Linked DNA regions of Oryza sativa Japonica Group. The protein of the gene in region 2 binds, or shares a complex with, the protein of the main gene of each other region. Links are inferred from orthologs where the notes say so. Each region holds a gene or a part of one and is shown on either strand. Other genes may lie near its edges. The genes, in order: COP9 signalosome complex subunit 8 and COP9 signalosome complex subunit 7.

What was found.
Region 1: COP9 signalosome complex subunit 7 (region 2) and COP9 signalosome complex subunit 8 share a complex: the UniProt entries of both Arabidopsis thaliana proteins name them as parts of the CSN complex. The link is inferred for Oryza sativa Japonica Group from reciprocal best matches to the Arabidopsis thaliana genes FUS5 and COP9.

The regions. Positions count from the first base shown.
Region 1 is NC_089038.1:21,626,895-21,631,274, forward strand, and holds the start of COP9 signalosome complex subunit 8, read right to left. Parts: upstream 2,892-4,380; 5' UTR 2,790-2,891; coding exon 2,706-2,789; intron 2,615-2,705; coding exon 2,538-2,614; intron 2,427-2,537; coding exon 2,245-2,426; intron 1,339-2,244; coding exon 1,231-1,338; intron 1-1,230. UniProt on the Arabidopsis thaliana protein: Component of the COP9 signalosome complex (CSN), a complex involved in various cellular and developmental processes such as photomorphogenesis and auxin and jasmonate responses.
Region 2 is NC_089041.1:18,480,311-18,484,846, forward strand, and holds the start of COP9 signalosome complex subunit 7, read right to left. Parts: upstream 2,925-4,536; 5' UTR 2,848-2,924; coding exon 2,677-2,847; intron 2,545-2,676; coding exon 2,469-2,544; intron 1,872-2,468; coding exon 1,783-1,871; intron 1,050-1,782; coding exon 960-1,049; intron 752-959; coding exon 707-751; intron 618-706; coding exon 547-617; intron 1-546. UniProt on the Arabidopsis thaliana protein: Component of the COP9 signalosome complex (CSN), a complex involved in various cellular and developmental processes such as photomorphogenesis and auxin and jasmonate responses.

The DNA.
Region 1 (4,380 bases), on a different chromosome or scaffold from region 2:
TCAGCTTCTGAAGCAGGCAAATATCATGCAGAAAGTCAAACACAATAGCATAATAAAATTTGCAGAACTAAAAATGCTTCAAATACAGAGGGATGCTTATTCCAAAAATATTCAATATGTTTTTCAATATGTTTCAAATATAGCAAGTTTTAGTTATAGCCATAGAAAGAGGGATACACGAGCCTTGATGCATTGACCACAAAAAAAAAATAATTTTCAATATGTTACATGAATGACCTACGAAAAATTTTGGTAATTAGAAGGAAGAAGAATGCATTCACTATATTGAAATGGTAAAATGAAGACAACTCTTTTTGAGTGGGTTGTGCCAAAATTTCTACTAATTTTATACTCCACAACAGTACTCAAGCCAACAGAGATAGCCAATTAGATGTGAAATTGTGGATATACCTCATTGTGAACATCAAAATCAATGGGCCAGCATTATCACAATGATCAAAACAAACTAAAATTCATGCACACAAAAGTATGTTTAATTTTGACACAACCGAGTCTCAAAGACAACAAAATATCTGACACTTTATTCAAACCTAGAATGTACAATGCTCAATCCAGGAGAAATGTGGACAACACTGATGGCACAAAATGGAATTCAAGTATTGTATGAAGGAGAGGTTTCTATTTTCTATTGTGAAAGGAAAGTAATGTAATATGCAGTGTTATAATCCAGTCAGTACAATAGAAGTGCTACCCAAAAGAAGTCCATAGGGGCACCATCATTGTTTTAGAGTTTTAGAGTTGGACACGGTTATTAAGAAAGTAGATAGAAGTGAATGGTGGAGGGTTGTAATTGGATGAGTAGTGGAGGTAGGTGGGAAAAGTGAATGGTGGAGGGTTGTGATTGGTTGGAAAGAGAATGTTGGTGGAGAAGTTGTTATATTTTGGGACAAATCCTGAGGGTTAAAAGTTGTTATATTTTGAGACATAGGGAGAAACATTTACCTTCCAAAATTCAAGGAACTTGCAAAAACACATATTGGACGAAAGATTATAATCTATGAAGAAATGCTATGGAAGTTGAAAAGGATGCAGTGTATCCTAAAATTGGGACTTTGGATGATTTCTACAGATAAAGATGACTAAAAACACCATATTAACCATGTCAGAACTTCTATGATCTATACTGTTGATTAACATGAAGATAGTCAGAACATTGTACTTAACATTAAAAAACATAGTACAGCAACAAGATAGTTTCAGAAAATGTACAGTTAGTAGCATCCTCCTCATTCATCCCCATGAAGTGAGCCACATCAGCAACGCTGATTGTGGAATATGCAGAAGTCAACAACTGGAAAATCCTCTTTCTGTAGCTTTCTGTGTAATCAGAAAACAATATTGGATATTCAAGTTAACCAATTATAAATACTAAAAAAAATATAAAACAGCAGGCTTTATACTTATTTCCTAATATAAAAATAATACTAGAAGATTAGTTGGTTAAACAAGCAAAAGGGAAACAATCATGATGTTATTAACTTATTATCCTGATTGACGTATTATTATGGTATATGTCATAGTAAGCACTTCATGGAAAGAACTTAACTTCTCTAGTTCCACTACTGTGTCACAATGACTGCTGGTAAAATGTTAACAATCACCTTATAAAAAAGTGCAAATGTTTAATTATAATGCTATTACATTAATACATTCAACAGTTTCACTCATAAATGATAACTACAAAGTGTTTATTTTGATTGAAGCATGAGTTAATGAACATCCTCTGTGCATCTAGAATTGTTGCATCATGTTGTCAATTAGAAGTAAAAATAGGAACAAAACTGAACTTCTTGGGAACCAAACTCTTATGAGCAGCCTGAAAATAATCAAATCACTAGTCCTTATTAAGGAGATAGTATAAACCCACTGAACAAGGCTATCTTAGGAAGCAAGTATTTCCAAGATAAACACTTTAACCATTACACTACGCAGCACAAAACTCTACTAACGGGCACTCTACTAATAGTAACTTTGCGTATTCATTAAGGAAGCTGATTCAGCCTGATTGTGCAGATAAATCGTTTCCACAATTACTCCATGAAGTATATGTATGCACATCTGAATCTCCCGACTTCCCAACCCACACCACAAAGTGGTGACCTCCAACACAATACTACCACAGTATGCAATTCATTCTAGTAAGCAATACAACTTTGCACAAAGACACAGAATAATTCAACTGTTGCACGTTTCCATCATGAACAGTAAAGCAACAACCAGTACCTAGGAAGGCGGCCACGAAGTCGGCGATTTCAGGGCTCCACTCGAACCCCTGCGCGGCCGCGTAGACGCCCGCGTAATCGCGGTTCCAGAGGCACTGCCCGATCCTCCAGACGGCGGCGAGCTCCGGCCGCGCGTCCTTCGCCTCCTGCGGCGTCGACTTCCACAGAAACCTCGCGCTGTTCCTGCTCACACACGCACCCACCCAGAAACACAAAAACAACATTAATCCCGGAAGCCCTAGCCCAGAAAAATTCCATGGGAGAGAGGTGGGGGAGCAGATCGCGGGGCGTTACAGGTCGTTGAGGTAGAGGTGGGCGAGGAGGTGCACGGCGTAGGGCCAGCCGTCGGTGGCGGCGCCCCGGGACGCGGCCTGCGCGAGGAACACCGAGTCAGGAGCGCTACGCTAACCCTCCTCGCGTCGCGGGAGGCGGGAGAGGGGTGGGGAGGGGAGGGATTGGTACCTGGAGGAAGAGGTCGTCGCAGAGCGGGGCGACGGAGGAGTAGGACTTGCCGGCGAGGGCGGCGTGGACGGCGGCGAGATCCATCGGAGGAGGAGGTGGCGGTGGTGGCCGGCCGCCGGCGGGCCGAGGCGAGGGGAGAAGAGGGGAAGGGTTTTTGGAGTTCGAGTAAAATTCGGAATTTGGGGCAGATTTGGAGAAATTTCAGGAAAGGAAATAAACGGGGGGAAGAAAAAACCCACGTGTAATCGTGTATCTCTCTGGCCCATCTGACATGTCCGGCCCAGGCTGGCCCGCGAGGGATAGGGTTGTTTCTTTCTCCAACATATACTGCAGTTTTTTTTTCTTTTTGAGATTACATGGCAGACTCTAAGAGACGGAAATCAGCCAAACATCTTTTATGTTACTAAAACCCTGCTAAAAGTTCACCTAGATTTGATTTCTTTATGAGATAACATGGCAGACTCTAAGAGATGGAGATCGGTGAAACATCTATTATCTTATTAGGATTTAAACCCTAGTGGATGGAGCCATGCACCCACGACTCCATCACCACCCACTAGTGCTTCCCCAACATGCTGCAAATTTGACTACTATTTGATTCAAATTTGGAAGTAGATTGAATACTACTACTGGTTGGTTTTGTCTATTTAGAGAGAGCGGTGTTTTATTGGTTATGGTAAATCATTACTACAAAGTATCTCCCGAATACACTCCAAGGTTACGTTACGGTGCATAACATCACTAGAATGTTCACAGAAACGAGCTAATAAATGAGTCGCGGCATTCAACATAGATAAACATGATTAAAACTAATAGAGGAGAAACCCACTGCTATGACCTTGATGTCTGCAATCACTATGCCATTTGAAGATTGGTCCATGGATAATGAGTTAACTCTCCGTATGACTGCATTCAGAATTACTAGCGTTTTGAAAACCTTCTTCGCAAGTGAGAGCAACAACGCGGCGTAGAGCCAATGCTTCAGCAAGCTATACTATGGTAACCTCTTTTGTGCGCTCATTGCAAGCCAATAAATCACAGGTGTAGTTTTTTATTACCATGCCCACTCCCATTCGACGTGTTTACTGAAAAGTTGCAGCATCAACATTGATAGCAACAACATCACGGTTTTATTTGAATGAGTTGATTCGAAACAAATTAAATACTATTTGATGGTAGTTTGAATGAGTTGAATAAAAACTGTTACGAAATGAGTAAATTGCACAGAACTATTCGTAACTACAAATTTATGTATATCACAAAATTACAATTTTAACATCAATATTATTATAAAACTACTAGTTTCAAGAGTTTATATTTGGGTTGAGCTACATGCTATGATTGTGTGATAAAATTAGTGTTCAAATTTGTAGATCTACAATATTATGCATTAGACCTGTAGTATTGTGGTAAATTTGATGCTATTGTGATACACCCTCTTAAGTCTGTAGTTTAATGTAAGTTTGGGTAAAATTGTAATACTGTCATAAATTTAGATCAAAATTTGTGCTTTTCTCATACACCCTATAAAAATTATAATTATTGTTTTGCGATAGTATGGTAAGGTGGTTCTTGGTACAAAGGGCCTTAGGAAGTATCCACTTGATGAACTACATTCATATAGGCTTAATCTCCTCCTGACTAAAGGCCTATTTGTAATGGATAAATTTTGGAA
Region 2 (4,536 bases):
AAAATGGACCGAGTAAAAATGTCAAAGCACGAGCATATAAACTGATTACTTGTGAAATGTCAAAAGCACAATATCAGCACCAAATGATGCATATACACTATTGTCTAAATGAAAAACCTCAGAGGTTATTCATCTTTTAACAAATTCAAGGAAACACTTCTATATGATTTAAAACATAAAGCTATGAACTGACAATAAAAACAATGGATAGTGTATAATTAAAACTTAAAAAGGTTAAAAGGCAGACAGAGTGGGTTGGCAAGAGAAGACACAATTTCACATTATCCCTACAGCACCCAACTACAAAAAACAACCAAAACCATACCATCTACAATAGTAGCCTGAAGGGACAACACACATGGAGTCTAGAACAAATAAACATAGCAAAATAACCCAGCCGCAGTTCCCATAACACATGACCTCAATGTATCTTTCAGAAGGTCATATCAGATATGAGGGAGAACCATATATAAATGCAAACATTAAAACTTCTGTGAACAAAAAATAGGGATGGGATGCAACAATCACTCAAGTAAAGGTACACACCAGTCAGATAATGTATCTATCATATTGTTCAGCTGATCAGGTGTAAGATCCCTTCCAGTTGCAAATTGTACCTGTCAAGTACAGACAGAATTTAGGGGGATCATTTGCCAGCTAAACAATGAAACCATGAACAATGTACTTGTAAGAACAAGCATCTGACCTCAAAACACCTCCGCAGCTGATCCAATTTGCCCCTGACAATACCCTAGGGAAGCAATTAAACGTTAATATTTGACTAGAATACTAGCATCTATGGTGTAAAAGTTCAAGAAACAAACCGATGATCCTAAAGGCTAGAGAGCTTACAAGAGCAATAATCCACACAAGATATATTTGTAATGACATGGTTTTTGTTAGGGAGGTTAGAAGATGGAAAATAGAGATTTAAGTGCCTAAGGCAAAAAAATTCTCACCGAGTACATGCACTCATTGATGAGGAAATCTTCGAGTTCTCTTACATTGGAAACATCCAATTCTTGCATGAGTTGATCATATGGTAGCACCTGAATAGAAATGATAATAAAAACCAAGCACATTTAGTATTGTCTAAAGCAAAAACATAGAACAGAGTTTTAAGGTAAAAGATAATACTACATGAACTTGACTTCCAGTGCACACTCAAACAGGCTATGCACATAAAGAATAAGATAGTATTCACAGATAGTGTAAAGCTAAATTGGGCACACATAATAGGATGGAAGAAGCTTGTTTCTGGCATTGGTTGTTATCTGTTCAGAGAATCACTATCACTTAACACATATAACTGCATAGAACTATTTCCCATCATACGTAAAGAAAGAAGAATGAAAAACCTAGATAATAAACATGCAGACCAGCTATTATTTGATGAAACAACTGTGAGGATACATTTGGATCTTAAATTATCTTTGCTCAGCCTGGCATAAACCTGCTCATTTCATCTATGGCCCACATAAGCAAGGCAGCGAGGCACGATATTTGGTGCCATCAACAGTTCATGCTCACATGCTTGTCGATGAAGATGGGGCCATTTTTTCTCTCCTTTGACAGCAAGTTTTTTCTGACAATTGTTAAGCTAGATTGACAGAGAAAGTTAGATTTGTTTTCTTTTACTACCAAATGATAACTCCCCTTGCTATGCAAGGCTAAAATCCCCATTGCCAAGGATCTAAACGCTCCCTTAGTAACTTTATGTACACAGGATAAGCAAAAAAAAAAATGCATAGCATATTAGACAGTATCAGCCTAAATTTGCACCTTGGTTGACTCAGCCAAAGTTAGCACGCTGAGTTGCTTCAGCTTCCGGACTTGATCAGGTAACAATGCAGGGAGATTGCCAGAATTACCTACATGTATGAAAATTAAAAACAATTAATGAAACAGTAAATGTTCATGTTCTGCACTTATCTGATATTACTATAAACAGAGAATACCACAAACTGCAGACCGTTTTAATGACATGCCGATGAGAGAGGAAACAACAAAATTCTAGCAACCACAGCCTGACACACACTGATCATATTGGTGGGTGAAAAGGCAAATTGATTGTCACAGCTCAAATTATGATTTCAAGCACAGAAATGTGATAATTCTATCCACATATTGTTGCAGAATATAAACCATAAGACAAAGATGAATTATGATTAATTAGTATGTGAATCCCATCAAAAAATTAACCTATAACAATATAACACAAAAAAAAAGTGTGAATTAACATTAACACAAATCAGCACTATTGTTAACCATTAAACATATGGGCTATGGCCCTCACATGCCAATCGCGTCCATGGTAAGCGGCTATTTCATAGGGCGTACCCCTAACACACAACAACAAGACAATGCACTAGACTCACGCACCAAATAAGCATACACATATGACGCATGACAACACATACATAAGGGCAATGTAATGTACGAATCGCAACGGGAGGGGGTGATCTTACTCTTGTAGTCCTTCAATGTCCCATAGGCGAAGAGGCGGAGCACGTCCAGAGACGACGCATACTGCGTTCCAGTGAGCTGCATCAACGAACTGACATTAGATCGAAATCAGAGGGGGGAGGAGAGGTGGTCCACCCCCAAAACCCTAACCCTAAACACGCGCGGCGCGGCGGGGCGCAGGCGGAGCGAGAGGCGGGGGGTCCCTTATACCTTGGAGAGGGCGGGGAGGGAGAGGAGCTCGGAGAAGGCGAAGAGGGCCGGGTGGGAGGTGGCCTCGAGCACGAGCGCCGCCAGCTGCGGCGCCGACGAGGAGAGGGCGGCCGCCTGCGCGGAGAACTGCTCGATCAGCTCCGCCTGCCGCCGCTCCGCGTCCATCGCCATCGCCGCCGGCGATTTGCCCGGGGGGCTAGTACGCGCTAGGGTTTGGGGGATCGGGGTTTCGCTTTCTTTTCGGTTTCGTTCGCCTCGGTGATATTCTCTGTGTTTTGTGGGATTGTAGTGGGGAGAGTGGGTTTCGGGTTCGGTTGGGCTCCACGGTGGTGGGTGGTGCTGGTGTCCGGCTCGTTGCCGCATACTCGTGCTCGGGAGTCGGGGCCTGGAGGGCCACGGTCGCTTGGGCTGCGTGTCGACGTGGGGGATTGCTGCCATTAAGAATGCATCTTCCCCGTTTAGACACCAATTTTTTTTTAGCCTTCTTATTACTCCTCCTCCATCTGCTTTTGATAGTCATATTTTATCTTGACACACAGATCAAGGATAAATAATTCTACTTATCATCCATTTAAACATGCTACTAGTCATTTCTCGTAAACAAGCGATTCATTAATATTTACATTTCTCGATGCCCATGCAACCAATCTTGTGTGGAAGAATGGAGAGTCATGCATTAAATCTGAGAAAGTCATTAAGATGATAAGTTGTTGGATTGAAATATGCCTATCAAAAATAAATTTTTCAAATTTGAAAATATAACTATCAAAAGTAGATGGAGAGAGTATTATACTGCCAAAATAAACATTTTTCAAATTTTAGCAATACCAAAATTTTGTCAAGTTGACAATATTACTAAATTTTGATAGGATAGAGCGATAGACTAAATATGTTGTTGTCAAAATTCTCTAGGCATTAACAATGTTTGGTAACAAACTAAATACATTCACATGTTACATGTTTAGCTCATCCACATACATATTTTTGGATAGCCGATATAATTCGTTGCCTAATCTGTTCTACCTCATCAATGATCTGGGTATCGACTGCATCAGATCCAAGAATTACTTTCAGGGACTTGATTAGATCAGCTAGATGTTTGACAGAAGATTTGAGCTATGATCTCTGATCCTCAGTAGCTTTGGGCAGATCGGCAAGTTTATGTTCTTCAATAGCAATATGTGCATTGCACTGCTCCAATTCGGCTAGGAGTTCTATCTTCCGAGTATTCAGCCGATCTATGTTGGCTTGAGTGGACCTTGGACCAGCTTCCAACTCATCAAGTTTTGCCTTTTCTTCATTAATAGAAGTCCTACTAGCCTGGATGGTGGCCTCAAGATCTTTTCTTTCACGGCGATCAGCAACCCTTTGTTTAGCCTTTTCAAGCTTGAGCTGATGCTGTTCGAGGTATGCCGCTGGGGTGATAACATCGGCTAGTTCATCTGGGAGTTGGTCGTAGATTACAAGGAATCTATCTCTGATTGATCCACAACTGACCACCAGAGTTTCTAGGGAGCCTTCAAGCCACTTTGAGATATCCAGCAAGGTTGTTTTCACATTATCGGCTAGAGGCACCAAGGCTTTACTTGTAGTTTCTTCCTCTTCATCCATAAACTACCTGATGTCAAAAGAAAACATATCGGCTAGAACATGAAAAAGGGGAATATTGAGGTTACTGATTAGTAGAAGTAACATGATAGCCGATATGATTTGTGGATTCAAAAGAGGCACTTACAGGGATGGCAGGGGCTGGTGCTACTTCTTCCTCCACATGATGGCTACCTGCAGCTGATGGAGTGCGTTCGCTTGATTCATGAGGAATAGGAGTTGGAGAACGAGGAGGCTGAAAAGAAATAAGTT